Linked DNA regions of Arabidopsis thaliana. The protein of the gene in region 1 interacts with the protein of each later gene in a pairwise test. Each region holds a gene or a part of one and is shown on either strand. Other genes may lie near its edges. The genes, in order: PRK4 and AT3G52070.

The links.
Region 2: the proteins of PRK4 (region 1) and AT3G52070 interact in a protein complementation assay, tested with the Arabidopsis thaliana proteins (one large-scale study listed by BioGRID).

What each region holds. Positions count from the first base shown.
Region 1 is NC_003074.8:7,033,748-7,050,089, reverse strand, and holds PRK4 (Leucine-rich repeat protein kinase family protein), read right to left. Parts: upstream 5,380-16,342; 5' UTR 5,094-5,379; coding exon 4,367-5,093; intron 4,296-4,366; coding exon of another isoform or gene 4,268-4,295; coding exon 3,620-4,267; intron 3,543-3,619; coding exon 2,878-3,542; 3' UTR 2,667-2,877; downstream 1-2,666. Other genes in the region: AT3G20200 (kinase with adenine nucleotide alpha hydrolases-like domain-containing protein), read right to left, coding at 62-448, 535-636, 722-1,085, 1,186-1,237, 1,322-1,527, 1,617-1,738, 1,840-1,916, 2,018-2,195; AT3G20180 (Copper transport protein family), read left to right, coding at 6,180-6,321, 6,422-6,705; AT3G20170 (ARM repeat superfamily protein), read right to left, coding at 6,883-8,310; AT3G20160 (Terpenoid synthases superfamily protein), read right to left, coding at 10,061-11,095; AT3G20155 (uncharacterized protein), read right to left, coding at 11,830-12,140, 12,225-12,300, 12,385-12,554, 12,653-12,728, 12,822-12,839; AT3G20150 (Kinesin motor family protein), read right to left, coding at 13,591-13,773, 13,857-14,582, 14,673-14,765, 14,852-14,947, 15,042-15,905, 15,996-16,125, 16,340-16,342. UniProt on the Arabidopsis thaliana protein: Receptor-like kinase involved in the control of pollen germination and pollen tube polar growth. Can phosphorylate ROPGEF1 in vitro.
Region 2 is NC_003074.8:19,303,588-19,319,212, forward strand, and holds AT3G52070 (RNA/RNP complex-1-interacting phosphatase), read left to right. Parts: upstream 1-9,130; 5' UTR 9,131-9,165; coding exon 9,166-9,510; 3' UTR 9,511-9,637; downstream 9,638-15,625. Other genes in the region: AT3G52030 (F-box family protein with WD40/YVTN repeat doamin), read left to right, coding at 1-29, 99-183, 274-640; AT3G52040 (2,3-bisphosphoglycerate-dependent phosphoglycerate mutase), read right to left, coding at 781-909, 996-1,048, 1,125-1,215; AT3G52050 (5'-3' exonuclease family protein), read left to right, coding at 1,572-1,766, 1,996-2,209, 2,297-2,376, 2,588-2,626, 2,747-2,765, 3,495-3,548, 4,208-4,335, 4,415-4,483 and 7 more; AT3G52060 (core-2/I-branching beta-1,6-N-acetylglucosaminyltransferase family protein), read right to left, coding at 7,400-8,440; AT3G52075 (uncharacterized protein), read right to left, coding at 9,660-9,833; chx28 (cation/hydrogen exchanger 28), read left to right, coding at 11,503-11,673, 11,748-12,752, 12,846-13,451, 13,525-14,148; NRPB11 (DNA-directed RNA polymerase, RBP11-like protein), read right to left, coding at 14,482-14,514, 14,640-14,735, 14,824-14,913, 15,020-15,098, 15,188-15,277, 15,359-15,411.

The DNA.
Region 1 (16,342 bases):
CTAAGTTAAAGTCTGATTTCTATTTAGATTTGAGAAGTATAGGATTTTTAAGTGAACTTACCTCTCTTTGAAATTGAGATCTTCCTTGAACTGCATCTGCTTTCAAAGCCTTAATAGCAACAGGGGTATGATCAAGATAACCCTTATAGACAGGACCATACCCGCCTTCGCCTATTTTATTAGCCTTGTCGAATGAGTTTGTGGCTTCTTCAATCTCACCAATGACATACCTTCGATACCTTAAACTGGAATCAGAGAAAGAACCTGCAGCTTCTATAGCTCTTCTTTGTGTTTCGAGCTCTGCTATCTTGCCTGCTGTTTCAGAAGCATCCTTCGCAGCTTTATGTGCTCTCTCTTTTTCCACTATGGACTTTGTAGATTTCTCTGATAACTGTCCTTCTTGCACCCACCCTTCCTCTTCAATTTTCTGACGTTGGAGCTCCTTCGCCTTTGATCCATAAGTAAAATTTCTTTCAGTCAGCACTGTACAAGAATATATATACACAGGGACGGTTTCGTCTTATATCGTTTTACCTCTTGCTTTGCAGCTAGTGCTTCTCTGCAAGCTGATCCATACATGTCAATTGCGTGTTTCAGTTCCTGCTTCAATCTCCGCATCTCAGCTTCCACTTCTTCCTATACATTTTTCAAGAAAAATATATAGTAAACCATTCCCGAAAACATATGTATTGCTATCTATAACCAATCAAACGCATCTTACCAAGTTTTGTGGTGAACAAGAACAAGATGACCGACCGCTATCTTGTGAGACGAATGAGAAATCATGTTGGATATTTGTGTCATTGAACCTGATTCCTAGACGCATAGAGTGTCCAGAGCTCGTCGACTCTCTCGGAGTTAAACCAGAATCAGGAAAATCGTAGATGAAGGAAGGGCTTCCAGTGGTGCTTGTACTCGGCCTGCCTGAGCTCACAAAAGATATGTCAGACCTTCCGGTACTTGTACTTGGCCGGCCTGAGCTTGCGGTACTTGGCCTGCCTGAGCAAACAAATGATATGTCGTTTTCGGAATCTTCCAAATCAAAGAATGAGTTTGCGTAATTTGACGTCCTTGCCATAGGTGACCTGTTGACGATATTACCGCGAAAGAAAGAGCGATAAGTATCTTCCTTCAAAACGAATCAGTTTTTTGTCAAAGACGAAAAATATCCTCATGAAACATTACTTTCCATAATCTTCAATGGAGCTAGCAGTCGAAGACCTGGGAGGAGCCCTATCTGTTTGTACCAACGAAAGAAAAAAATTCAAGATGTGTGTGGTGTCACATGGTTTAGCCTAAAAAAACTAGTTAATGATTTTACCTCTAAAGCTCATGGTGTTTCTGAACTTTTCGTAGTTTATGATTTCAGAGTGGTTTTCAATCTGACCCATAAGCGGAGACCGATATGGAGCAGCTCGTGAGGCATGGCGGACAGATGATATCTTCCCTTTTGAAATAACGTAAACTGTACAGAAATCAGGTGCTGCTTTCGCTACATTGCTCGGTGTATCAGAAATCTTAAATTTCCTGTCAACAGATTGAATCAAAGAAACACATAAGGATAAAACAAGGAAGAGGATTCAAACTTATAGGAGAGAAGAGATTCATATTACTACCTCATGAATCCATGCCTCGAAGGAGCACCAAGAATCAAATTCTCAATCACACCAGAGGAAACATATTCCGCAAGGGACTTGACAATGTTGTCATCCTCAAGCGTGACATCAAGGCATTGTATCTAGCAACAGAGAGTAAAGAACAATGCATTCAATTACCAAAAGCTATGCTATAACATAGATTCACTTTAGAAACAAAGCAAGCGAGGACAAGAGATATTACCTCTTTTCGACTGCAGTAGCAATGAAATGTCACAAAAAGATTTTCAGCTTGCTTATGTTTCTCTGCAGTAATCTCACCTGCAAGCAAACCCATAACACCACAACATTTAAGTATATCCAGAATCCAAAAAATCAAAACAACAAAAAGAACAAAAACAGGTTTTGTCATAAGCTCAGACCTGAATCAGAGGATGACCTAAGGATAACATGGAGGAGGATAATGGTTTGTCCTTTAGAGACAAGATGATCAGCAGCCCATTTGAGAGCATGTTGGCTTCCTTTATTGTTATCCACTGCTACAGCGACTAACCCAGAATTCGTACCTTTCTTCTTCGAGCTTCCCTTTTGAGCCTTCATCGATTACAATGCTTAAGAACCCTAGATTGCAAAATCCCCGCATTTAACGATATCAACCTCTCGATTCACTAATCCATCTTCTCGGAGAATCTCATTCTCAATACTAAAGAAATCTGCGGTCTTCCTAAATTAGGGGTTTTGAGAAATCCTCTTTCTCCAAATTAGAAAACTTCGATTCAGTGGTGCACTGAAGAACAACAATGGATAATTTTAACCTCACATTCTCTCTCTCTCTCTCTCTCTTTCTCTCTTTCATCATCTGTGTCTCCGTAGCTCTCGTAGCCGCGAATTCTCCGCCATAGTAATTAGTTTATCCCCAAAAATTCAATTTTTAGCCCTAAAATACAATTCTCGAGAAAAAAGTTCCAAACTTTTTTTGAAGTTGGAAACTTTTCATCCACATACAATGCAATTTGAGTATTTCGATCTCAAGCTATGTTGTCACTACGCATGGATTCATTACTTTTTGCATGGATTTGATTCTTGTACTTGAAAATAAGAAATGAGTAAAATTTTCAAAACTCTGCAAAATGGATTTACAATTACACGAAGAGAATGATTTATAAGAATGGAAAAAGTTACATAACAAAGAAGAAAAAGAAAGTTCTTCTTTTTATTTGGCATCAAAGATTACAAATTGTTTAGCTTTTTCCATTGTTCTGGAGAAGACTGATCAGTTTCATCATCGATTCATGGCGAAACCAAAGTCATCGTCGTCTATCAACCGAGAAGCAAAGACATTATGTGTCGTCGATGCGAAATCATTGTCAAACTCTCCTTCTTTTAACCTCTCTATCTTCTCCACAGCATCTCTCATCTCCATCCTCCTTTCTTCATCTTCTTCGCAACAACTCAACCCGATTTTCAAAAGGTTTAGCATCTCTGCTTTGCAGTTTTTCTTCCCAGTCATTTCCTTGTCAAACACGTCACCTGTTTTCTTCTCCTTAACCATGTTGCTCACCCAAGTTACGAGGCTCATGTTAGCATCGTACCCTTGGCTTAGATAATTCTCCGGAAACCTACCTGTTAAAAGCTCCAAGATCAATACCCCCAGGCACCAAACATCTGTCTTTTTAGTTAGATGTCCCTTTAAGCTATACTCTGGTGATTTATAAGAGATCATTAGATTGTGAGACTGCTCTGAGTTCATCACTGGTCTTAGTGCATAATCGGTTAGGAGTGGCTCAAATGATTCGTCCAATACAACGTTCGATGACTTGAGATGACCGTGAGGGATTGTTAGGGTTGTTAGCTCGTTGAACAAGTAACCTAAACCCTTAGCCACTCCTTGTATAATCTTTAGCCTTGTTGGCCAATCCAATCCCGGTTGATCCACAGAATGATTCGCTGAAACAGAGCATTTTTTTAGTCAAAACTGATAAAGTTACAATTTTAATCGACCAAAAAAGTTGAATGTTACATACCGTGAAGATGGCTTGCCAAGCTACGATTTGGCATGAACTCAGCGATCAAGAGCTTCTCTTCTCTGCGGTAATAGTAAGCCACAATAGGCAACAGATTCGGATGTTTCAATCTCCCTAACCGTCTCATATGCTCATGAAACTCATCTCTTCCAACATTGTTCATATGTTTATACCTCTTCACGACCAGCATCTGTCCGCTATTTATCCCAGTTTTATAAGAAGAGCCAAAGCTTCCGCTCCCAAGAACTTCAGCAGAGGCTCTAAGAAGATCTTGAAGGTCAAATCTTTGAATGTCATCTTGCAAAAACAAGAGTTTATTCTGATCCGGTACTGCTCCTCTTCTACTAGTGTAACTCGTTACAGAATCTGCAGCTTTATCCTTGTCCGTAGATTGATCGTAGTTGTATTTCTCTGTCCTGTCCTGACCCGCGGATGGATAAGCCGACAAACTCTTGCGTCTTCTGGTATGAAGGATACAGACCACAAGCGAAATGATCATCAGTATTATCCCAATGACAATCAGAACAATTGCAATGATGAAGAAAGATTGGTTCTTGTTCTTTTCCGTGGGACTAGAAGGGAGATCCGGAGAAGATCCTGAATCACTCGAACATGGGCTTAGTGGAGGACCACACAAGTTCTTGTTCCCTGCAATGTCAACAAAGCAAGAAAGATTCTGTTTTTACATAAGAACTCCTATAGTTTACCAAACATTTGCAGATGTACTTGAACTGTTTGTTTAATTACCTGAAAAGGAGACAGGATCCATGTTGCTAAGGCTTTCCGGTATAGGTCCCTCGAGGTCATTGTTTTCGAAGCTAGCCAACTTAAGGTCCTTTTGTTTAAAATAAGGTATTTCCCCATGAAACTGATTCCCATTTAGCCTCAACTCTAAAAGCATTGGCAAATAAGCTAAAGAAGAAGGGATACTCCCTCGAAACGCGTTGTTAGCCAACAGAAGCTTCTTCAAATGATGCATACCATCAAACGCATCCGCGGGTATCTCCCCTGTAAACCGGTTGTTAGACAAGTACAATGATTTCAACGCACCAAAATTCTTGACAGATGGCATTGAACCGTTAAATTTGTTGTTCATGAAGCTCAAGGTTCGTAGATTCTTGATTGCAGCTAATGGTTCAAGGTCAAGCTTCCCGGTTAAGCCCATTCCTTCGAGTTGTAGGCCCCAAACATTACCGGTAACACAGAGAACACCGAACCAATTCTCTGAGTTTCGCTTACACGGGGAGATGGAAGGATCCCAACTGCTAATGAACGATGCATTAACCAAAGTATCTTTAAATCTCAAGAGGCAATCTGCGTCTGAGGCTGGCAGTGGCAAAACATCCGCCTGCGGCTGAGACATGACCATTGTGACCGGACATAACACAATGATGAGAAAGGTGGTAATGAAGGCTAGCTTTTTGGTTGAGGCGGTGTTGCTTGCAAGCATAACTGGGGTCTCCCAAGTTAGCATTGAAGCTAACACGCTCTATAGAATCGATTCTTCAAGAACAATCTTACCTCTTTTCGATCCCAATGAACTTTTCTTTTTCTTTTTTTTTTTTCGCTAAATAACTTTTCTTTTTCTCTTTCCTGCCTTCCAGAGAAGAGAAAAAAAAAACGTATGAACAGAAAGAGAGAGAACAAAACCCACCAAGAATAGACAAAACCCAACAATGTGTCAATATGCAAGATTTGGTTTTTGTTTGCCTATGTGTTGTCTACAAATTGTTTAGATTTTAGAGAGATCTTAGGGTGGCCATTCCATTCTTTTATGGTTTTTTAGTTATACAATCCTTGTTGTTGTGATTTGTCTTTTCATTTACTTCCCATTTGTTCTAACTAAATCTTGGCCTAACACACAATCCTTATTATAAAAATTAAACTAAATTAAATTGTGGAAAAATAAGCCTAATTAAGTTAGTAATTAAGATGCATTTCCATAACAAAAATATATGTAAAACTACTACTACTAATATTGACGTAAGAGTGGAAAACTGGTTATAAGTCTTGTACGGGGGACAGCATATGATACACAATGGGACAGATTTTTCAAAGAAGACAAAAACTCAATGGCACAGTGGTAATTAAACACTGGGAAACATTGGCAAATCTGTCAGGGAAATGGGCGACCTTGTGTATCAAGTTAAAAAGCATGTAACAGTGAAACCCATTCACAGAACAACTTAATTTCTTCTTCTCTTCCCATTTGTTTTTCTTCTTCTTGTTTGAGTGAATCAAAAGGACCGAGCACAAAAGACAAGAAATTGGAGTCTCAGTTGGTGTCTGATTCGGTCAAGAAGAAATTTCTCTCTCTCTGTCTTTTTCTGGCGAAGTTTACAGTTCTGAAACTCAGTGTGTAGAAGCTTCTTCGCTTTTGAAATCCGTACAAAACGGAGAATAATTAGGGTTTGGTTCTCTTAACTCATATCTGAGGAAGTTTGGCTTCGATTCTTAAAAAGCAACTTCTTTATAGAGAGACAAAGCTTCGTCAGGACAATGAAGGTGCTAATTTTTCTTGTTGCTTAAAGGCTCTTCATTTTTATTTCGATAATCATGGATGTCTTGTTTCTCGATCTGTTTCTTTTTTCGAATCATTGGTCTTTGTTGGAGCAATTTGCAGCAAAAGATGCGTATCAAACTGTCAGTGAATAGTGAAAAATGCAGGAAGAAGGCAATGCAAGTAGCAGTTGCTGCAGATGGTTAGTGTTAAAACAGATTTAATGTTTTGAACCGATCGAGAGTGGTTTTCTTATGGTTAAAAAAAATGAAACTTTAATACATCTGTATCTGGCAACGCAGGTGTAACTTCAGTGGCCATGGAAGGAGAATTTCAGGATGAGCTTGTGGTTGTTGGAGATGGAGTGGATTCAGCTTCTTTGATTATGGCCTTAAGGAAGAAAGCATGTCATGTCACTCTTGAGACTCTTGAAGAAGTGAAGAAGCCACAGGTCGAAGAGAAGTCTATTACACCGCATTGCTGCATAGCTCAATGTCCTGTGGTTAGCAATGAGCAGCCAAGGCCTGAGGTTTATAGAATAGTGCATGATTCTTATGGTCCAACCACTGGGTGCTTAGTTATGTAAAAGAAGACTAACCATGTAGATACCATTTCCATTCAAAGTCAGAAATCTTTTAGTACATGTATACAAACGTATCAAATACAAATTGCAGAAATCAAACAGCAATTGAGTCTTTTCTTTTTCCAAGTCAGATTATAAACATACATCAAAACAGATGGGAAGCTTAATTTGCCCTTCAGATCATGGAAGATCATGGTCATGGGCAAGATGTTGGATTGTAACCCTTCGCATTGATCGAACCATCAGTTCATGGGAAGCTCGGATTCTAGCCAGTCTGCTCTGCATACTCTGAAACACAGGATGGCCTATTGCCTCACGCACTCTAGCATAATGCTCTTGGTCTTCAGAAAAATTAATAAGTGCCTCAGCTGCGTTATCCCTGAGCTCTTCCGACTCATCCCCCAACCATTCAATCAGAATCGGTATCATACCGGAATCAGAAAAGGCCTCACGGTCGTTCTCATTGTAACTCAACTGAGAAATAGCTCCAGAAATCCTCTCTCTGAACTCAAGTGACCCATCTCTCAGAAGCTCAATAAGCAAAGGAATTGCGCCAGACCCTCTAATAACAGATACAGAATGCCTATAACCCGCAAGATCCCATAACACATCAGAAGCTGCAAGCTTGGCTTCGTTATCCCCTGCTCTCAAGATCCTCACCAGTTGTTCCGCTATCAAAACAGCATTACCTTCAGCTACAGCTAATATACAGAACACATCCTCTGCAATATCTTTCCCCATGGGATCTTGTCCCGAGAGAAGCTCGACATACAAAGGAATGGAACCAGCTTCAGTGACAGGCCTAATGTACTCAGTCTGAGCAGATATGATCCCTAAGGCATTACCAGCTAAAAGCTTTGCCTTATCATCCCCATCTCGATACAGATCCACAAGTGCTGGAATCACTCCTGCTTCAACCAGTATTCGCCGAGCTCGTCTAGTAACACCGATCAGTCCGATAGCATGACAAGCTCTCTCTCTTGAGGCCAAGTTCCCAACTTTAGCAGCTTCTACAAGAAACTTAAGCCCACCTGAATGAACAAGAACGCGTCTGCTCTCTCTAATCGTCGTCAAAGCACTAAGGATCTCTAACAAGTACCATCTACTTCCATCATCTTCCCAATTATTCAACTCACGAATCACAATCTCTAAACCACCTAACCTAGCCAAACCAACTCGAATCGAAGATCCAAAAGTAACTAAGCTCCACAAACATTTCACCCAAATCCTTCGAAACACATTACCATCCGTATTCGCTTCAAGTAACAACCCTAATAAGCTAGCAATCACACCACACCTCCCCATCGTCACCGCAAATCCACTTTCTTCACCGCCGCAACAGGTAATACATTTCAAGCAATGAGCGGCGGCAGCTTGAACGGAACGATTGGAGTCGTCTGAGACACGAAGAAGACCGGCGAGAATCGGAATTGCACGGGATATATAGCTCTCAGGTACTCGATTCGTCAAATCTGATAACTTTAAAACGGATCTTACACGAATTGAAGCAGAACCAGACGAAATCGCGTTTTCGAATCGGTTAAACTCTGTTTCCCAATCTGGGTTTTGAAAACCTCTGCTTTCACTTTCCGTTTCTGAAGAACCCATTTCTGGAGATAACGAAAAAGCTTCGAATTATCAAGAGAGTAGTAGCACGAAATACTCGAAAAGAAGACGAAAATGGAGATTCAACATCTACAAGCACAACAGAATGAAATATTGAAATATGCCACGTCAGATTTGACCAGCCCTAGACACTGAAGGAGACGATTTTCGGTTACCCGGTTTATAAGGATTTTAATGTACCGAATTAACTCGACTCAAATTGTATCTTTGGGTGGTGACTAGGTTTTTGGGTGGTCAGGGACTCCCCTCTGTTTTTGGGCTAGTGATGGTGTGAGTTTCGTCAGTCGGAGTTCTGTTTTTTTTTTTCTGCTCTTCGTGAAGCCACCTCCTTTCTTCATCCGTTTTGCTTGAAGTTGGAGTTTGTGGTTTCTTTTGATGTGGTTGTTTTGTGCTTAGACAACAGTGATGTTGTGCGTCATGTTGGAGTGGAGTCTTTACGGAATAATAGAGGCGGCATGTTGGTTTTCGAGGCATCGCTTATCTATGAGAGATGGTTCCTATTGTTGTGATACGAATGGTGGCCGAAGGTGGTTTCTTTGGTTACCCGTAGATGCTTCTGTAACTGTCGAATTTGTGTGTTAGCCCTATAGTTGTTTTTGCGTTTTTGCGTTAGTTTGCAAAGAAGCTGTACACATTTTATCGAGAAGTTTTGAAGACGGGCTTCTGCAAAGGTTTGCTCGTAGCAAATAGGATGAGACTCTAACTTTTTGGTATCTTCGAGTTGTGGAAATCATGCAAATTTCCAAGTTTAGCTTTTCGGAATCGGTGTTTCTTCTCTTATTTCCGCTTTTGGTTAACGTTTTCCTCCATTACTATTTATTTATGTCTGTGTTTTTTGTAAATTTATTTTTCCGCTACTTATTTTCTTGTAACTCCTGTCAAAAAACTTAGAAAATGATATAAATACTTGACATTTATTAATTTTTGAAGCAATCGAATTACGTAACACACAATGAAAACAACTTACTCTCGTTGTAAGTTGTTATACTATATTACTATCATGTGGAGTCATTTATAGTATAACGCGCGGCACGTTGGGAGCGTTTACGAAGCCTTTGGCCATGACACGCTAACATTATTATAATAACGGAAAAACAAATCTCATTAGTCTCTTGTTTAAACTAGTCTAAGCAAATGTTTACGGATGAACCAAGTGGTGGTAGTCTAATGGTTTCCACTTGAGGAAGAATTGCCCTGTTGGTCCAGGTCAGGGATCGATTCCCCTTAGGCGTGAAATTACTAGTTATTTCTATTTGGTCAGGGGCTTTCACCTAGTATTCCCGGCCCGGATCCTGAAGGGATTAAGGGTCTCGGCCCCGAACCTCCTGGTTATAAAAAAAAAAAAAAAATGTTTACCGATGCATTTACTACTTAACATGTGAGCTTTACCTTCATAAAACCACTAAATTAATTATCTCAATTTTTCTTATCAAACATGAGACTAATTAGTTTTTGTATCATTACTATTTGTATCAAAACAACTCAAGCAGTACTTTTGTATCATTACTAATGTACTATTTTTAGAATTGCATGCCAAATGAATAAGACAAATTTATGGAAACCCCAACTTTTATTTATCCAAAGGAAAACAAGTGAAGGCCGTTGAGCCGTTAAGTAGAACCAGGCCTAAATTTGTGTATGGGCCTCCTGTGTTTTGTTTACATATCCAAGTTTTAATATTGTCACTAGACAGTAGACACAAATTTTGTTATTAAGCTTTTGAGCAATAGTGTCAGTTTTGTCTGTTGACAATGTAATCAGCGAGAGACACCAAAGGAGCCACCTTGTCTATATCAAACCCTAGAAGATGTTCCCGCGCTTCTATGTTCAATCTCTCAGCATATTCTTTCGATTTCTCCACTCCCATCAGTCTCGGATACGTCAGTTTTCCGGCGATCAAATCTTTACCGGCGGTTTTCCCGAGCTCTTCCGACGATTTGGTCACATCAAGCACATCGTCCACAACCTGAAACATTAACCCAATACATCTTGCGTAACTCCGAAGCCTCTCAATCTCTTCATCAGACCCACCTCCCATTATAGCTCCCATAACAGCTGCGGCTTCAAGCAACGCCGCCGTTTTATGAATATGTATAAACTCAAGATGCTCTAATCCAGTGTCACTATCAAATCTCATACCTTCTCCAGCCAAATCCGCCTGTTGACCTGCAACAAGCCCTTCCACTGCTTTAACCATCTCCTGAACGGTCTTGAGAATCCTCTCTGGGGGAACGTCCGCAAAGGTGGATGACGTGGTCTTTTGGACAGCCAAAGCTATGAGCGCTTGAGAAGCTAATATGGCTATACTCTCGCCAAAGACTATATGGTTAGTGGGTTTTCCACGTCGGAGGCTGTCGTTGTCCATACAAGGGAGGTCGTCTAGGATGAGAGACGACGCGTGGAGCATCTCAATCGCACATGCAGCGGACATTGCGGTTGACTCTTGTCCCCCCACGAGCTCGCATGCAGCTAAGCAAAGCATTGGTCTTACACGCTTCCCATCGGAGAGAAGCGTGTACCTCATGGCCTCACGGATCTTGAGTTCTGGCTCGCGGAGAGGAACAGCCTCTTCTAGTGCTTTATTGACGGACTTAGCCTTATTGACCATATACGACATGAACTTAAAATCATAGCTTGCGGCCGAAGTCAGAGGGCGGGTCAACGCAGACGTAACATCATTGTAACGTGGACGGAATCTCCAAAACAAGAATTGGAGAGAGCGGAAGATGGAGATGACAATGTAAACAAAAACTTCTCGATTTTCCATCTTTGGGTTTGGTTTGATCCTTTTACCTTGGAACACTGATATACCATCTTTATAGTTGAAGAGTTTAGGGTTTATTTAACAAAATAATCACGTTTATTGATTTCTTGAAGATATTCAATTACGTAAAATACGAAGCAAAACAGCTTCTTTCTCGTTGTAAGTAATATGAATTGATTCGATAACGTTGGGAGCTTTTTGAAAGCTGGCTTGCGGGATAACAATTTTTGTAAGAAAACATAATTCTCCTCATCTAGTTTTATGAACAAATCCCATGTGATTGAAGTCAAATGTTTTACGTTTCTGTAATTACTTCTCAACATGTGATGCTTAATTATATATAAATAAAAAAAACATTATGTTCTTATCAATTAAACACTATCTATAAATTTATAAAGGCAAATATGTAAAACGTAACGATAAGCTTCTATGCTTTTCTTTAAATGCACTCTGCCTTTTATGTTTAGCATATAATAGCATCAACAACTAGAGCAGTAGTATGAAAAAAAAAAAACAATATGAAAACACTAATGCACACAAATTTGTTATCTCATTCTTGAAAAACTCTTGAAGGTTTACCAACTAGGTACTTGATTAATAACACACACATATGACATATATGAGGAGTAGGACGTTGTTTTCATTTTTTATTTTCTTTCGAACGGTTCTTCTTCTCATGGTCCATTATTTGGTTTTGCAAGAAAATGATAATATGGTGCTAATGACGACATGATTCATTAACAAAAGAACCTTCTTAAACCGCGAGACTTCTTGTATACGACTTGGTGTTTAACAACCTCAGGAAGAGGAGGAGGCACCGTGTCTTTCACGTCCTTTGTCTCAGCTGTTCCAATTGAAGGAGCCTCAACTTTCTTGGGAGGAGGTGGGTTCAAGTTTGCATCTTTATACTCGACTCCATATTCCATTGCTGACAATTCAATGCCTGTCTTCACAAGCATCTTCATGAGCACTCCAATTTCTATGTTCCCACATAAATATACCATCGGATTTCCCATAACCGGTTGTGCATCTATGGTAAATGATACACCTGAAACCAAACCCACCAATCAAAACAAAACAAAAATAACATTTTTCCAAAGATTAATTGATGACCTAGAGAAAAATTCTGAACCTTGGATGGTTTTCAAGGCTCCTATGATTCTCTTATACCAACTTATATCTAATGTGTTTAGTTCAAAGCAACATCTCTGCAGAAGCCAAACACACACATATTTAGATTTAAAAACCACTGATAATAAGTATAAGTAGTGAAAAGTTGTGAGATATAAAACCATGAAGTGAGAATTTGGTCTCCGGGTTCCTTGTGGATTTTCTTCATATCCATAATCTATTCGGAAGAGCTCAACGTAACTTCTTGCTTTATACATCTTCCTAATGAAGGTTATTGGATCAATCTCGCCCCGTAAATACACCAACCAGTTTGACACATCGAGCTTTAAACCTCTCGTGTTTCAGAATATGTATACAGAGTTAATTAGTCTTCTCAATTCTTGTGTAGATAATTAATAATAAGATCTTAAAGACTCAAAATTCTTTTACCTTCAATGCCTTCATATATTTTATTCAACATCTTTTGATAACCTTTGAGTCCAATGTTCACACCAAACACACATGTCTGTTAATAAAGTTACAAAATCAGAGGGCTATCAAGAAAAATATAGATAACATCTCGAGAAACAAGTATTAGAAAACACAGAAAATTTCTTACCACTGAAGGACCCTTCATTGTTCTTGGTTTCTAGAGCTGTCTGTATTCTTGTTTTTCCCTAAAAGCACAACTTCGATGACACAATGGAACAACTTCGATTATAATTCGGTATTATGATTCTAGTTTCCTTTCTTATATGTCCGTATATTTTGCTTTCGATAATGTAGAGATTTATTTTCTTAATTATAGAAAATTATTCATAAACAAGAAATATTCTATATATAAACACATAAACTTTCCAAAACTTTTACCACTGCATAACAAAACATGAGTTTTTTTTTTTTTTTTTGGTGAACTAAATTGACATATACAACAAAAAGTTAACTTTAAACAGAGTAAGATCCTTGACAAAAAAAAAAAAACAGAGTAAGATTGTCGATTTGGCAAAATAGGATTCCCATAATTAAAGTCTACTCTATTTTGATTAGAATTTCTCTTGTATTACATGATCAACAATATATATATCTTGTAAGAAGAATTTGAGTTTGGAAAGAAAGATAACAATTTTAAATGTAAGAAAATTAAAATGAAATACCAAAGTTAAAGTTATACAGAGACCAGTTTGCACGCCACAAACACGAGATTCAAATCAAATACAGCAGAACAAATAATTCAATTGGGAAAAAACTAAAAATGCCTTGTGGAATAAGGACATTTGAATTTTATTAGAAGCAATAAAGTGAAAAATAAGCAGAATAAAGATGTGTATAATATACCAATCAGATCCAAGAAGGGTCTTCAAGTTATGCACTTTGGTATAATGATGTTTCTACATTCCTTCTTCCTCAATAGCCGAGTTCCTCTGATGCAGTGGCTGCAATGCAGATTCTGGCAACGTGTTTTGCTTTAGACTCTTTTTGATTGTTACCACTTCCAACTTGTGTCTCCTCTTCAACTTTTCCATTTTCTTCTTTAGCTTCTCGTTTTCTTCTTCTACTTCATTGAACTTTTCCTGCAACCAAACAGTCACTCAGAAAACAATGTCACAGTCTCAATCCAACAGTTCATCGATTAAAACATGAAAAATTTGTTTACCTCAGCAGCTGATGCTGATTGTTCGGCTTCTCTGAGTCTAACAAGAACTTCTCCAGCAGTATGAACAGCTTCAGCAGTATTCCTTAGTTGAATCTTGAGGCTTATGTTTTCCTTCTTCAACAGATCTCTTTCTCGTTCTCTTTCTACTCTAAGTGCTGAGAGCTCAGAAGCAAGTGATTTAGCAAAACGAGAACCGCAACCCTTTTTACCAGCCTTTGCTACTGCCTTCTTCAACTCTGTTATCCATTCCACTGTTGCTTTATGCTTTGAGCATAAGTCGTTGTACTTCTCTTGTAGCTCTGTGTAGTGTTCAACAAACCTGGCATGACCAAGAACAGCTCTGCGAAGTGCATCTTCTAGCTCCTCAGAAGATAGTTTCTCTTGTTTAAGCTGGGCTTCAGCTTTCTCTGCGCGTGTACGTTGAGTTTCAATCTCTACTCTGAATTCGTCAGTCAATGATATCCACTCGCTTTCCATTTCTGTGCACCTAAGTCTTTCTTCCTCGATATCTTTTTCAGCATTCTTGCTACGGAGTTGAAACGAACGAGCCAACAGAGATGATCTCAGTTCATTGGTGGACATGGTTACAGGCGTCTGCAATTTTTTTTTCAGATCCTCAATTTCTTTGAGTAATGCCTCCTTCTCGCCAATATCAAAGTCTGTCTTCTTGGAGTCATCATCCGAGATTTGTTTTACGTCATATGTTTCAGTTATACAGCTGAGAAGCTACAGAACCATGGAGTTGGGATTTATGTTACAATCTATCATATTTTCTTCACTATAGTAGTCACATAGTAAATTAAAGTAAGAACCAACCTGGTTTTCATTTGCAGAAGGAAGTCGTTCTCCATTACTTGCTCCCATAAGTTTTTCTGTTTCATCCTCAGTTTGAAGTTTGTGTTGCCCTACCTTAAGAAGATATGATATAACCAGACTGCTTAACCATATGTACTGATCCAAGTTTCAGTAGGCATAAGACATAGAAATTGGGTTACCAGGCGCGTTAGCTGTTCAATCTTGGCTGCTTGCTCTGAGCACAATTTTTCAAGCTCTTGCTGCTTCTCAAGAACCCCTTCCATATGATATCCATCCTGATTAACAATAAATCCAGCAACGTTAGCTTCAGGATAACTGTAAAAACTAAATCTATTAAAACATATTGTATCTGCTATATCATATACTTACTCCCTCAACTACACTTGGTAACTTAGAGCTGCAAATTCTGCAGGTTGGACAGAGTGGCGACAGAGGTAATCGATCATCTGTGGGAGGTTGCATGGTCAAGTTATCAGAAGACAAAGAAACTGAGCATCGGTTTGATGCAGGGTTCATGGGATTGTCAATAATATCCAAGCCTCTCCGCAGACTTGCAGCTAGAGATTCTGTAGAACCTGTGAATATCTTGCTTCCGCGTAAAGATGATCTGATATGTTGGCTCTCTGCAAAACACGTGGATTTTATGCTCTTCGCCAAGCTATTCTGATTCCTGAGACATGACGAAGAAAGAGCTATGCTCTTCCGTAGAGAATCTCTGAATTTAGGTGACTCTGACTGGATGGGTTCTTGCAAGATTAAGGATTGACGGCAGGGACTGATTGATATGCTGTTTTCCGATACAAATTCCTCTATCCTGGATTTCTCACTTGATTTACATACTGTTGCAGCACTGTCATGTTCTTCCAAAGATTCACCAAAATCATTCTCCTCAACTTCTACTTCTTCTGAACATATCTCATCATCATCCATTAGCTCTGATTCACCGAATGCTGTTACAAAGGATGAGTTGACCGAGTCTCTGTTGACAGGGAACTTCTTTAGTTTCTGGTTAAATGAACCACGCAAGGACTTGATCTGCAGATGCAGTTCCTTAAAATCATCCTCATCAACCGTTATCTCTTCCTCGTCATTATCAATTTTTGGCAGCATCAAAGAGCGGTTAAGACTAACTCTTAGTTGATTCAAACTTTCACGTGCATTCTTTGCTCCGAAATAATCATTTTTACTTCCAACAGAATGACAAGCATCGGCTTTGACTTTTGAAAGTTCTTCCTGCAAAAAAGTGGTAAATGATATTTAAATGACATCCAAATTCGACAACCAAAAGACAAAAAATGGGAACGGTGTGGTGGAAGAAGAGACCTTTAGCAGACGAATCTGGTCACTCAAATCATTCACATCTTCTTCTGAGATCTCATTTATCATTGGTTTGTTTCCCATGGCTTTAGCCCGTTCACCAAATCTAAGGGTGCTCATTGTTCTTTTTGTGTCTCTGTGTTACACAAACAAACTCTATCAGTACATATAGTGGGCATCCTGTCATTAAGATGCTCAAGTGTTATGAGCTTTGTTCTCTCAGCAAGACCTGAGATTTGCACTCCTTATCTCTCTATACAAATTATATTGATTGAATATTAATACTTGGTACCATCAGGCTGTTATGTTTATATTTAACTAATAAATGATAACAAGATGAAGAAAATTACTTG
Region 2 (15,625 bases), about 12 Mb from region 1:
CACTCTTAAATCCACGATAACTGCAGGAGGTAAACTCAAACTCAATGTCAGATTGCATCTCCAGTGACATTTCTTAAAGCAACCTCCATTCTCTACAGGTATACAGACAATCTGTTTTAACCAAGGCACTAATCTCGCCTTCATTGGAACAACTGGTGGATATGTTTCATGCTGGGACCTCAGGTATGTTAAAATAGTCGTCTAAGGTTTTTTTCAAAGATGCAAGTTTTAATTCACTATCTTAAGACGTTATAACCAACTATTATCTAACAGGAAAATGGATAGATTGTGGGAAAAACGAGTGAGTCCTAATGTCGTGTACTCAATACAACAGCTAAGGAATGACACATCGGTTATGGTAGCTGGTGGAATAGACGGTGTGCTGCGTATGATTGATCAGAAGAGTGGAAGGGTTTTATCTAGAGTTATAATGGACGATAAATTCTCCACAACATCAACAAGGAACAACCAAGTGGTGATAGAGAAAAGAAGAGGAAAAAGAGTTTCTCAAGACATGGAGATTGATAAAATCGAAAGGAAAGTTCGGCCTCAAATCAGTTGCATAGCAATGGGGATGAAGAAGATGGTAACGGCTCACAATGGTAAATGCATAAGTGTATGGAAGTTCAATCTCTCGTAAAGTAACAATAAACTTGTTTGTAAGTGACGAAATTGGTAACAATAGCATTATAAATGATTGATTTAAAGACAAAACCGATTGGATTGTGTAAGAGCTACAAAAGTTGAAACACTGGAAACAAAAAAAGAAGGGTTTGTTGTCTATTTGGCGGATTTCTTGGATGGCTCAGGTTGAGATTCAGCTTTGATGATATTGAGTTGACCACCTTCTTTACAAGCTGCATTAGTTGCTTTCACTTCATTGCAATGGTTTATGAATTTCGTAAGCTCCTGCTCCACACAACACCAACCAATAACTCACAATTAAAGATCCAATCGATTCAGAATTTAGGGAGATTGAAGAATATAGAAATTACCCGATCAGTGTCCATCTCTTTCGTCATCTTTGTTGGTTTCACATTTCTCTTCCCTGGAACAAGAAGATGATAAAATCTGAGAAATCAAAATCGAAAGGGATTTGTGTGAAGTAAAAAAAAAGTGAATACCTTTGCGAGTTTGAATGGATTTGCCATGGCGATTAGGAGCAATAGTCTTCCTCTTCTGTTGGCCCTTGAACTGATTGCTCTTCTGCGTCATCTTTGGATCGTCGTTTCTAGCTAGGGTTTTCTCTTCTGTCGAAGGGTTTTTGTTGTAATAGAAGAAGAAGAAGAACAACAATCAAAAGCCTATATAATGGGCTCTTAAGGCCTTTATTTATATGGGCTGATTAATTATTGGGCCCAATTTGGAGTTTTCTAAATTCAACTCTGCTAAATTTTTGGGAGGCAGAAGATTTTGTTCCGAGGAAGACACGGATACGCAGAAAGCGGTAAAATCCTCCTTCTTCGTCGTCCTTGTAAAAACCCTTTCTCATTTTTGGAAGGTTCTTTCAAAATCCTTTCTTCGATTGCTTTCGGATTCTCGCTCGCTTCTTCGATTTTTGGTTTTGATTCATGGTGAATGTGTTTCCTCCGCTAAGGTTAAACGCTCTTCTTCTTCATGACAGTACTTTCAGTGACGTCATGACGCTGCATCTGTATCATCACTCCCGTTTTCTATGGAGGAATCTCTGTTTTCCTCGGAGTGTTGGAAACTTGTGTAATCGGAACTGTTCTCTCATCTCTCCTTCCCTTGCACGCTCTGCGAAGGTGATACTTGTACTTGTATCGTTCAATTCTGAGCTATTTAGATGTGGTTTTTACTCTTGTTATGTAGTCTACATCTGAATCATGGCTCTGATTAGTTTGATATACAGATTTTCTGAATCAATTGAATGTTTCTTTCGCGACATTTCTGTTTACTATAAACTCAAAATTGATCTCTGAAGGATACTTATTATTTCGTTCTAATGTTGATATAAACATTTGTGGTACACAGTACTATTGCAGTTCCGTAGCTGTTTCTGAATTCTCAAATGAAGCAGCTAGTGGCAGCACATTGACTTCTATAAGTGAAGATGTTACGCCACAGTCGATAAAATATCCTTTCAAGTCAGAAGAAAGAGTAGCTAGTACTGCTGCTTCTTCAAATGGCAGAGTGATGCTTATTGATGGGACATCGATTATATACAGGGCTTATTATAAGCTTTTAGGTAATTCTGCTACTCATGTGTACATCAAATGTTAATTTTTTTTCCTCCCGATCTCACACTTATTGACATTTGATTGGGCATGTGCAGCAAGGTTGAATCATGGTCATCTGGCTCATGCTGATGGAAATGCGGACTGGGTTTTAACAATATTTTCATCTCTTTCTCTTGTAAGTGATATCTTGAGTATTGTTCTCCAGATGTTCATTTTTACTGTACTTAAATCTGATGGTTGAGAAAAGCTTCTTGTAGCATTAACGATGGCTGACCAAGTAATCATGGTTGCGTATAATTATGTTTCCTTAAGGCTAAAGTTTATCTTTCTTGTTATAACTTTCGCATTCGACTTCTTACCTTGTTTCATTGTGTTCTCATTTTCAGCTGATTGATGTTTTGAAATTTCTCCCATCCCATGTGGCGGTAAATTCCATTATCCATTTAACATCGCATTTCTTTATATCTGTGATGATCGAATGAAGTTCTTGTAGTTTTCTTAATGTTGGATAGCCCCTACTGACTTAATTAACTGTGTCCATGCAGGTGGTGTTCGACCATGATGGTGAGTCCTAATGTAATAGTCTTCTATAATTGGTTAAATTCATGGACGTCTATCTACTTCATGTGGTGATGTAGGAAGAATTCAGGTTTTTGGGGACTTTTAGTGTCTATAGTTAACCACTTTGAGTGTGCCTCTCAGATGATTTAAACTAATTCATTGATATAAGCCCTTATTTCAAACTCTATAGTTATGGCCTCTATACTTCCTGATTTTAATTACTCAAGTATGTGTATGATTTCCCCTTATCAATTGATGCTAATTGCTCCTCTAGTCATCTATAATTTTGATTTTCATCATCCTCTTTCAGATGAATAGATAAATAATTGTCTTCAGCTTGTTGAATGTTGTTGCCCGAAAACTTAGATTATGTTGAGTGTTGATGTTTTCAACTTCATTTGTATCATAGTGAATGGATAAAAGTTTCAGATTTCAACTTCTGGCCACTACTGAGAACATTTATTCGATAGGCCTAAGAGTAAGCAGGTGGAGATCTAGATGGTGATATATTGACCAAAATTGATTACTTAATCTTGATAATCATTACTGTACTATTTATGGAATATTCCACTAAGTTATCTAGAAAAGCTTCTAGTAATGCATAATAGTGGTAATCTGACAAATATCATGTAGTAATCATGGTTATGTCATATGTGAGGCAAGAAGATTAAATGCTTTCTGGACCTATACGTCTCTAGTTACTCTTTTTTAACAAAATAGAGCCTTTTTCAGGAGTTCCTTATGGCACTACTTCTAATTCATCTACAGGTTATCGTTCTGCAAAAGGTAAGCTCCATGTCCTTAGTCAAACTAAAGTAATTTAATTGACAGTATAAGAAGTGGTCATTTTTGCATGAGAGTTTAGTTAGTATGCTGACTCGATGGTGATGTATGTAATATCATCGCCGATGATCTCCAATTGCTATACAAGCCTTCAGTATATTGCTTCTAAATATATAAACTTGCAGTTTGAACTGATTTTCTGCTGTGTGCCTAGGAGAAATTATTCCGGAAATTATGGCTTACTTGCCAAGGATGATATTTGAAGTGAAATGCCAACTTTGTCTTCCTTTGGGTGTTTTGCTTGCCGCTTTTGGGCAGTCATAAACTTTGGTGTAGATAACAGAGGGTCGGTCATATGCGCTTCCATGGCGGTCTTTGGCTATTTGTAAAATAAACTTAGGTCATATCCAATGATGAACGTAGGTCCAGTATGCTTGATGTCTTTTGTTGTTTCCGTTCTGTACATACTGACATAGATATGCATATCCAATACTCTCTTCTTTCTACGTGATGGGTTCACTTGGCTGCTCAAACTGTAAATTTTAGGCTTTTTGGCACTCTAAACCTCGACATGATTCTCCCTTGTCTTTGCGCAGAGTGTGAAGGATTATTTTTATGCATCAGTATCAAACCTATCTTTGTTCATGTTTAAATTTTTACAGGCATGAACTTCCGTCATACTCTCTACCCAGCATATAAAAGTAATCGTCCTCCCACACCTGATACCATAGTACAAGGACTTCAATATCTCAAAGCGTCCATCAAGGCAATGTCTATAAAAGTTATAGAGGTAAATCATGCACATGATTGCCATATTTCCTTTCATTGTGATGATTTCTCACTAATGGGCAGACATTCCATGAAGACAGGTGCCAGGTGTAGAAGCTGATGATGTTATTGGAACACTGGCTATGCGAAGCATTAGTGCCGGTTTCAAAGTACTCATTTTCAGCTATTCGAGAAGTGTTCACTACTTATTGAATGCTCAGGGTCTGTTCAATTTGTCCTTTTCCTAGAAGTGGACTGATCATTTGTTTGTTACCCCTTTACAGGTCCGAGTTGTCTCTCCAGACAAAGACTTCTTTCAGATTCTTTCTCCCTCGTTGCGTCTTCTTCGACTAACACCACGCGGATCAGAGTATGAAATTCATGTTAGATGGATAATTGCCTCATTGTAGAATTTTGCGTATTATGAAACCATAGTTGCTCTTTGTATCCTGTATGTTTTTTCCACTCAGTTGTGTCAAGGCTACTGCTTCTTGTGGCAGGATGGCTTCTTTTGGAATGGAAGATTTTGCTAAAAAGTTTGGAAATTTGGAACCAGCACAATTTGTTGATATCATCGCCCTTGCTGGAGACAAGTCTGATAATATTCCAGGTTAAGCCCACTTCCTCTACCCCTCACGAAATTGTTAATTTCTGGGGATATTCCTTTCATAGCCGCATTTTGTGTATCACAGAAAAGTTGAGCAAAAGTGCACAATCTACATACAAACGTTTAGCCAAAGTGCACACAGGAAAGGGCTAAAGTGATCTAATGATGTTTGTGTGATGCAGGAGTTGATGGTATTGGGAATGTGCACGCAGTGGAACTGATATCTAGATTTGGTATTCACTGAGTCATGCTATATTCTTTGATTTCATTGATTTGCGCCCCATGTTTCCTATTACTCACTTTTATTGCATTATCAGGCACGTTGGAGAATCTGTTGCAGTCTGTGGATGAGATCAAAGAAGGAAAAATAAAGGAGGTGAGTGAACAAGTGTTGCAGAGGTTAGGCAAGCTAGTGCTTCTGTGATATGCAAGGCCTAATATTATAATCTTCCTTGTCTTTGCAACAGTCTCTAATAGCTAGTGCGGATCAAGCCATTCTTAGCAAGAAATTGGTAGGTTTTCCTGTTTTTCTTTCATACTTTCATTCATTTATTCAGTTGTTAAGTTCACAAGGTAGGGATGATGAATTGTGTTAATGGCAGGCACTGTTACGGTCTGATCTCCCAGATTACATAGTACCGTTCGACACGAAAGATCTTACTTTTAAGAAACCAGAGGTTTGTATTTGTATGACGATATACATCTACTACAATAGACTAACTGAAAACAGAAAGATTAGTAACAGAGGATAATTTGTGAAATGTACAGGACAATGGTGAGAAATTGAGTAGCCTGTTAATCGCGATTGCGGATTACGCAGAAGGATTTTCAGCTGATCCAGTCATCAGAAGAGCTTTCAGGTTGTGGGAAAAACTGGAAGCAGTGCCATGATGATATTTTATGCATCTTTTTTCTTACTCGTTTCTTTGTATTGGGTACATAAAATAGAGTAAGTTCAAGCCAAGCTTAGAAAGTTCTCCCACAAAACATTAAAGCGATACTTTCACAATCCTTTTGTAAAGCATGCTTTATTGTAACTATGGAGAATGATGAAGTTGATGCTAATTTAGAATGCTCCTCCATGGGAGGTTCCATTACATAAAACACAAGGGAGATGATAACTTCAAGCTAGCCTCTTCTGAACACATCTAAAATGCTGTCTGAAACTCTGTTCACTTTGCTAAAACAAGAATCTCTTCTGTCTTTTAGTTGAATAGGTAAACTAACGTTAATATCATTTACTATTATTAGTATCCGCTAAATTGATTATAAAAAAAGGTCAAGTTAATGCCTCATGGAGACATATGATGATGATGATCAAAGTAAATTATAAACTAAGAAGAAAATATTCGTCTCTATTGAATTAATTATGTACATTAGTGACAATAAGAACTAAAAATATTCTAAACAAATTAACAATGAAAGAAAAGAGACAAGGTACTAAACTAGTACGTAAATTAGTAGACAAACTCCTTCATTGGATCTCAAACCAAATCGAAAACCAAGGACCAAGGTAGCATTATGCTTTTGATGATGGGGTCTGAAAGTGTGTTACCACTTACCACCTTGTGACAACTTTGGAACACTGAGTATTGGTGAAACCACTACTCAAAGCTTAAGCCCGTTCGCACAGTGACCCGGCTTTGAGCTTATGAAATAATGGACTCCGGGGTTTGGTGAGCCTGACGAGATCGAGGCCTGTCTTGTGCACGGCTACTGGAGAAGTGGGGTCGCAATATCTGAATTCACGATGACCGCTGATTTCTAAGACATCGACGTTGTCTTCGATGTTGTATTCTAAAACAAGATTGTCTCCCACTTTAAACTGTTTCTCCACGCTCCAATAGATAAAATCACAAAAGCACAATCTGACCGACAGTATAACAATAAGCCATCTAGTTCACAATCAATGGGCTGGACTAGATGATTCATTAATTAAAAGAACGTCATATGACCATAACTTGGTGCATTTTCACCATTGTTTTGTTACTTTGCAATTAGTAATTCATCAAAGTAAAAACACTTGAAATAACAAAGATCTTTTCATTCACACTTTTTTCGAAACAAAAGAGAGGGAACAACACTTTTGCCATTCCCTCTCTCTCCCGTGGAAAGGAGCTGAATTACAAAAGAAAAGCCGATTTGGCTTTATCTTAATGATGATGCTCTCACTTTGCCTTTGGGGGCTCTCTATTTACATTCTTTTTTACATCCATTTTCCCATATCTCTACCTTCCCTAGAGACACACAAAAGCTTAAAAAACACAGCAATTTTCACACACACACACAGAAGTTCATCTTTATTTAGCCACTCTTCTTCGAGCGCCAACACAAGCTTCTTCCTAAACCTTCCTTATGATGATATCTGAAACCTGAACACAATAACAAGAAGATAAGCAAATTGAAACTAAACTCTCAAACTGTATTCATATTTACACATTGAGATTTCAGTGTTATACCTAATTTACTTTCACCGAATTCAATCCCTAAAGATCACAGCATCTGCAATCTCCATAAGCGGTTGCAATGACTCCGGCGTGAATTTTCTGGCGAAGAAATAGTCTAAACTCGAATTAGATCTCCGCAGAGAGTGAATCAGCTGCGGCGAGATCTCAGAGGCATCGTACGTGTGAGGATGACCACCAACACTACCGGTCCAATTAACACGTGTGAGTGTAAAGTGACTACATCCTTGAGGATCCTCAAGAGACAACAAAGTCGGAAAATAATGTTCTTCAGGGTAACAAGATTCAACATCAAGGCATGGTAATTTGAATTTCCTCCATAGCTTTCTCTCTTTGATCACCATTAGAGCATGACGTTTCGCTAATACGAAGAACTGAGATCCAACACGGAAGTCTTGGTACTGGATCTCAGGAAGCATCGCGTCGTCTCCTCTTGCGTTGTATCGTTTCAGAAGGAACGGTTCATCGGAGAGGATCTCGATGAAGCTTTGTTGATGATGATCGGAGAAGAGGTGGTTGTGGATGTAAGAGAAGGAATGGAGAGGGATACAGTGTTGTGAGATTAAAGCGAAATAGAGATTGTTAGGATCGTCGAGGATTGCGTTTGCTAGTAATCGTCGTTCGGCGGAGATTAACGTCGGAGAAGCTCGTGCGGTTCTTCTCGCCGGGATGAACTTAGCGTTGATTGATGAAGAATCGAGAAGAGGAGAGACGGAGGAGGTTGGATCTGCGTGGATGTAAACGTTGTAGAGATCTTGGTGACCTTGGAAGAAGCTTTCCCAGAGAGGTAAGAAGGTTAGATCGGAGTTTGTTAGGAAGAGGAAAGCGATCTTTGGGGGTGGATTTGGAGAGAGGGAGATGAGACGACGGTTGTTGTTGGTGGAGGAAGAGACGACGGCGCGGTGGAAGAGAGAGAGGTCGTCTAGGTCATCGGCGGTGGAAATGAGGGTAGAGGAAGAGAGAAGGATGTGTGGTGAGAGGATGAAGAGGAAGAAGAGAAGAGAAAGAGAGAGGAAGAGAGATAGAGAATAAACGAGTGTAGAAGATGAGAACATCTCTCTGTATACAACAACACAGAATTTCTCTGAGGAAGAAGAAGAAGAAGAAGAAGAAGATTGATTGAAATGAATGAGTTAGAAAAAATTCTGATGTGACAATAAAAAGGAAAAAGGGGAATAATGACGTCAGCAAAATGGGGACACGTGAAATTATTTTTAAAATTATTTGGGACAATCGACACAGTTGCTCTATCGCTATTTGTTTACGTGGGGCTGTTCTCTCTCTATTTATATAATAATGAGATACGGTTTTTTCAGCAACCAGATTTTAAAGTTATCTGATTAAATCTAATAATAGGATAGAGATAGAGTCACAGAGACATGTTGTTGACTTTATGACATTATTTTATTCTTTGCTTATCCACTCAGTCATCATTTATCTCACCAGTCAGACATAATGTGTTGTTGTTGTGAATTTGTAGATGCTTCCGACTATACCTGATTACCTGGCCATTCAGAATCGGTTTGGATCAAAAAATTTGGGTTTTCGGTTTAGAAATCGAAACAAACCGAATTAGTTGAAACGAACCGAATAGAAATTCGGCCAATTTGGTTTTGCATTGGCGTGTACCTTGTGACTACATGTGTGTGTGTTAGATGAGATCTATCCACCCATTTTTCAAATCATTTTTGTCGTTAAGCTATCAAGATTCTGATATTTTCCTGCTCACTTTTGATTCCCAAAACAAAAAACTTTCTTCAATTATTCTATTCATCTTCTCATGGCGGCTCTCTCCACCACCTTCTACTACCACCCACTCTGCACTAACCACCGTACAAAGAGACAAGCCTCAAGCAGACACGGAGTTAGATCTATGAGAGTGATGTCTTGTCGGAAGCAGAAATTACCAGAAGAGAATGAAGGAGTGATCCAGAGAACATTGAGAAGGATGATTTCAGAGGCTGGGAAGATTGGGAAGAATCTGAAGCCAGAGAAGAAGAAAGGAGACGTCAAGGACCTGATGCTTATGAGTCTCTCTTTTGCTGTTTATGTTTATATCTCTCAACTATTGGTTTGTGCTTACTTCTCCTGGCAACATCTCAGCTTCCCCAAATCTTCATGGTAGTAGCTAAGCTAGCTCCTCCTTGTAAATTCTGCACAAATCAGTAATAAGATAAGAAATTCAATTCCGACATAGGAGAATTGAGAGTTGTGATCTTTCACTTTGGTCTTATATAATTGAATTGTTAAGCTTCTCATACCTCTTTATCTGCTTTAACTCCGGCAGAAAAGGCAAACCAACCATTGCGATAACACTATCAACCAGTTAAGGCTCTTTGTTTTAGAGCCGAAAGGAGATGCAAGAGCCTCGGGCAGAGTCGCTGAGTATGCCTTGAAAACCAAAACTTTGACCGTAATTGTTAGAAAGAAAGAGAGATTCCTAACCATTTCGTATTGGCCTCCTCCAATTTATCCTCCTTAAACAGAGAGCCCCATCCATTTTCCTTCTGTGTGCTGCACCAAACCTTTCCTCCATAGTCATATCACTGCGAGCTTTTCCCTGTACAATCCAACCTCTAAGTCAGCTATAAGCAAAGAGCTTGGGATAAAAGCTTGGTTGTGGAGTGTTCAGGTAAGGAAACAAGAATCAGCAAATGATCTTAAAGAAAAAACGTTCCTCCTTTGTTTCATCAAATCCAACAACTTCAGCGTCATCTAACAATTCCGCTATAGATGGAACATTGGGAAAAAGAAGAGTTTCCATCTCTCCTATATGCTAAATTCCCAGCAAACATGCAAGAGCGCACGTTCACCAGACTTGATGCTGGAAACACCAATAGCTAAACCGGCCATTACTTGTATCTCTGTTCATAGAGGACATTTCACTCCTTAGTTTTTAATCTTGTTTAAAGCTCTGTATACTAACATAAACATGCATGAATCAGCTTTAAAGCAACAAAAGAAAGAAAGGAAAACTCAATTTCTTTCCTCCCAAATATTCTTTTTCATTAGGTTCACATGAAACGCAAGATTTAAGACCTCAGCTTTACTATCAACTTTAGGTAGGTAAGACTACCTACCATTTTGAGAAGGCTCACAATGCAAAAATGGAACTCACCATCCTTGACTGATTCGGTTTCAGCTCCAGCAAACCAAAGTGTTTCTAATAAACTTGGCCGTGCATTGAACCACGGAGTTCCAAAATCAATGTCTGTTTAAATCATTGGCCCCAGAATTTGAACTACACACAGAGTCACAGACATTCATTACGATGGTTGAATGAAATGGTCTTGACTAAGAAGTAAGAACAACTATGCACAATTGAGAAACTATTAGCTCGATTTCCAGAAACTATCACTATCGTAATATAAAAGTCCCAGGATCGACCAAATCGGACGAGAAAGACTCAATGAAGAAACCCCATAAAAACATGGTCGAAGTCAGTATAAACAAAATCAAGAGTTTGGTCGTCGTTGTGGATTTGGAGGAGAGGAGAGTGAGCTTACAGAGTATGAGAAGCGAGAAGCTCAGGGGAAGTGTGACTCGTCGTCGTCGTCTTCGAAGTCACTCACGACCATCGAGAGATCTGATGATTTTGGTAAAATATCAAAAAAGGACTTCAACTTTTCACTTAAGTCAAAACAAGCCCCTATAAATAAATTCTGTTATTTAAGCCTTGAGGCTTGAGCTGCGTCTTTGTTGTTCACTAGGAGAGTTATTTGAGCGGATAATTTACTAAAACTGAATGTCCATCTCCCAAACAAACATTTTACGTTTTCATGTTATATAAAAGAATACTATATCGTTAGCTAGAATATTGTAGTTAAATATTAAAGTAGTGTATTTTACATTTTGTCTGAACTTTGTCATCTTTGTTTCATGAATGGTCAATGGTGAATAATGGGGAGAGAAGGAACGTGAATAAAGGGATCCACAAGTGTCTCCACCATTTTCTGAGTAAAAACAATCACATCCTTTCATTTTCAAACCCCTAAACCAAATTGTAAAGTCAGAAAAAAAGAAAAAAAGAAACACACATACAAATCGAAAAGCTTTTCTTCATCTCCCACGTTACAATAAGCCCTAAGAACGAATAAGGCAACTACAGAGAGAAAAGATGAATTCAACTACAACAAAAAACGTTTGTGGAGACAAATGGTACCTTAACCTAGACAGGCCAGAAGAGGCATTGAAGATTCTTGTATTCATTGCCATTTTCGTCGTCCGAACTCTCCTCCATTATCTCATGAAGCCTCTAGGCCAACCTTACCTCACCACCGACTTTGCTGTATGTCAAATATCTTTTTGTTCTTTGTCTATCTCTTTTGATTTCTATATTAACTCAAATTTTCTATGCATCAGATAGGGCTAATTCTAGGTAATATTCCAAGGTTTCGAGGGGCATTCTCGGGGCCTTACTCTATAACCCTCAACAACATAATAGAATTTGGAATGATCTGCCATATGTTTGTCATGGGTCTAGAGATGAATCCAAGCGTTCTTCTCAGACCACCAACCAAAGATGCATTCATTGCCTACACAAGCATGATCACGACCTTTGTTCTCGCCTTTGTCACAACTCCTTTCCTCCACTATACCAAAACTTCTCCTTACATTTTCTCCCTCGCCCTCTCCCTCATGGCCTCAAGCACCGGTTCTCCTATCCTAACCCGCGTCATCGCCAATCTCAAAATCAGAAAATCCGATCTTGGAAAACTTGCATCAGCCGCAGGTGTCCATACGGACATGATCTCTACCTTGCTTTACTGCTTCGGCTTCATTTTCTTCCCTACGGAGAAACCTCTCGCTCGTCCTCTCCACAGATTCTTCAGAGCCCTCCTCATGTTTTGCCTCTTCCTCGCTCAGGTCACTTTCACTTCCATTGTATCCCCAATCTTTCTTAATTGGGTCAACAACGAGAACCCTGAAGGTAAACCACTCAAGGGGTCACACCTTGTTATGTCCCTGGCATTTGTCGTCTTGATCTGCAGTTTCCCAACTTGGCCACCTGAATCAATGTACAACCCAATTCTCAGTGCATTCACGGCTGGTCTCTTCCTTCCAAACAAAGGAAGAATGTCGAAATGGATCATCAACAAAATCAATTACTTGCTCAGCACGGTCTTCTACCCTATCTTCTTCTTCTGGGTTGGATTCATAATCCACATGAGAAACTTTGACATTACTGACAAAATGGCGTGGGTAAGATTCTTTTCTCTTCTTGGCACTGTTATAGCCGGAAAAGTCACCGGAACAGTCTTGTGTGGTTTACTACTCGGTTATCATGTCCCGGAAACCGCATCCTTAGGACTGCTTTTGACCACTAAAGGCCATTTTCATGTCTACTTGGCAGCTTTAGCCATTCGGGTACCATCAAGCTTTCTCTTTATGTTTTGTTATTTAAGCTATCATCAAAGTAAGATCTTTACTCTCTTTCTTTTTCGTTTGATGCAAATGCAGACTAACAGGGTGAAAAGTACGACCGGTGCATTGATCATATTTATCATTGTCTTCACGGTGGTCTACTCCCCATTCGTGGTCATGGACATCATCAAACGCGCTAGAAAGCGGGTGCCTGTGCACATCATGGCGCTTCAATGGCTCGATCCAACAACTGAACTTCGGATCTTGATTGGTCTCCACGGTCCCCACAACATTGGTTCTACGCTCAACGTTATGGAGATCTGCCATGGTGGCCGTGAGCCGGGTTCCATATTCTATGCGACTGACATGGTGGAGTTGACTGATGAGATTGCAGCCACGCTGAAGAAGGGCGGAGGAGCCGGTCAGAGTAATGATTCAGTGACGGTAACGGATAGGTCGGTGACGGAAATGAGAGAGAGTATAACGGCAGCTGTGAATGGGTACGGAGAGCTCCGCAATGGACAAGGTGTGACAGTGCGGCGGATGCTGGCGTTGTCCACGTTTGTGACCATGGCCCATGACGTCTGCGGTTTGGCTGATGAACTTATGGTTTCCATTATAATTCTACCGTTCCATAAACGGCTGAATCCTGATGGTACTCTCGATGCTGGTCATGCTGGGTTCCGTCATGTGAACCGCAAGGTAATTGTTCCATCTCAGTAATACTCTGTTTCTTTCAGTTCTCAGAGAGATAATTTGGCATTTGTGTGTGCAGATTCTGAAGAACGCACCATGTTCAGTAGGAATTCTTGTGGATAGGTCGTTCGGGCAAACAGAAGAGGCATGGAGACCAGGAGCGTCCATGGGCATTGCTATAATATTCATAGGTGGCAGAGACGACCGAGAGGCACTAGCCTTCGCTGCACAAGTGGCTCGACATCCTGCTGTGAAATTAAAGGTTATACGTTTCTTGGAAGACAAGAGCTCTCAAAACGCACAAAAACGAAGCAGCATCCTGAACAGAGCGAGTGTGGTAGATCAAGAGGAGGAAATGAAGCTTGATGATGAATGTTTTGCTGAGTTCTACGAAAGATACATAGCTGGAGGTGGAAGAGTGTCTTACATGGAGAAGCATCTCACCAACTCCTCTGAGACTTTCACAGCTCTTAAATCACTAGATGGAGAGTATGGGCTGGTGATTGTAGGAAGAGGAGGGGGAAGAGCGAGCAGTGGGTTAACCACCGGCCTCAACGACTGGCAGCAATGTCCAGAGCTTGGTCCCATAGGTGACGTTCTTTCAGGATCAGATTTCTCACACAACACATCAATGTTAATTATTCAGCAGCAGCGTACTCGGGGTCAGCTAGAAGGGCTTCATGATGACTTCACTATACTGTGAATATCTGTACAAATGCACTTTACTTAGTAGCTTGGGAAGAGTAGTAGCTTCACCATCACAACTCTTAAAGAGACTTTGTACAATAGTTCAAACATTAAGCGGTTTATGTAGATAGAATGGTAAAAAGAAGAGGTAATCTAAGCATTACTTCATAGCATCCTGAAATGGTGTTGAAACATAGAGTTAAAAGAAGTTACAGGCCGATTTGTTTTTGATTTATACAAAGCATAACTAGGGAAAATTTCCCAAGCTCATTATTAGTCTTGATTGGTGCTTAGCAAAAGACAATGTAAAACGTTTTCCCCGATGTGCTGATGGAGAACTCCAAGTTCCTTAAAACTGATTCGAAAACTTGGCCACCTCTGCCTGAAAACACAGAAGGGTATACCATAAGACCAGGTACATCAAACAACATCAATAGCATTTGATATTCGTCTAGCTTATTAACCACATAATCAGATAAGTATATCCGAAGAGAGAAACTTATGTACCTCAAACTGGTTCTTCAAGTAGTCGAGCTCCTTGTCCAAGTCATTGATGGCCTGGTTGTATGCTTGCATTGGGGAAGACTGGCTTGTTGTGTGAATCTACATACAGAAACCACTTTCACAATTAAACAACAACATACAAGATCTTTCTATAAGTCCTTAAGCAACCAGTAATCCCAGAGGAAACTGTTAACACTAGAAGCTTAAACCAAGAAATATTCACGGTTTCCAAACAACCATACACTACTTTTAAGTTCCTAAACCAATCTTTTGGATCCTAAGGTCAATCAATGAACTGAAAAAAACGCAGAGGATAGCATTGTTCTTTCCAATTCAAAGCAACAGGCTCTACAGTAGAAGCAACTGAAAAACTTGGAACTTACCCTCACTATGATTTTGTACTTAAGAGGATGAGGAAGTTGGTATCCAGCAAACAAGACATTCTCGTCGCGATGAAGTTGCCTAAAACAAAAATTTCAGAACAGAGCTGACAAAAATTAGGGCTTTCTTCTTTCTGAGAAAAGAGTTGCAAAATCAACAAAAAGACGTACATGCGGACAATGTTTCCAATCGTATGGTCTTCTCTCTCAACCGTGAAGGAAGCAGCATTGATGATCTTCGTATCCCTATCATAAGAAACCCTAGAACATAGAAATCGAGAGGGTTTAGCACATGTAAGAGGACTATCGAGTATGATTTCGAGTGATAGAAACTTCAATTACTTCTTGGTGCCTTCAGGGACGACGAATCGCTCATATCGTTCGGGAGCATTCATGGCTTAATCGGAGATTTCAAGCTTCGCTCTCTTTTTCGCCGCAGAGAGACAGTCAAGAGTTCTTCAGTTTCTTTCTGGCAAACAAAATATAATACGACGTCGTTTTTCATAAAAGAAAAAAGATCGAATCTCCACGTGTTATATTATTATTGGTGTATACAGTTTGGGTCGGATCGGGCCGATAAAACATAATATTTCCGTTTAAGGACCTCTA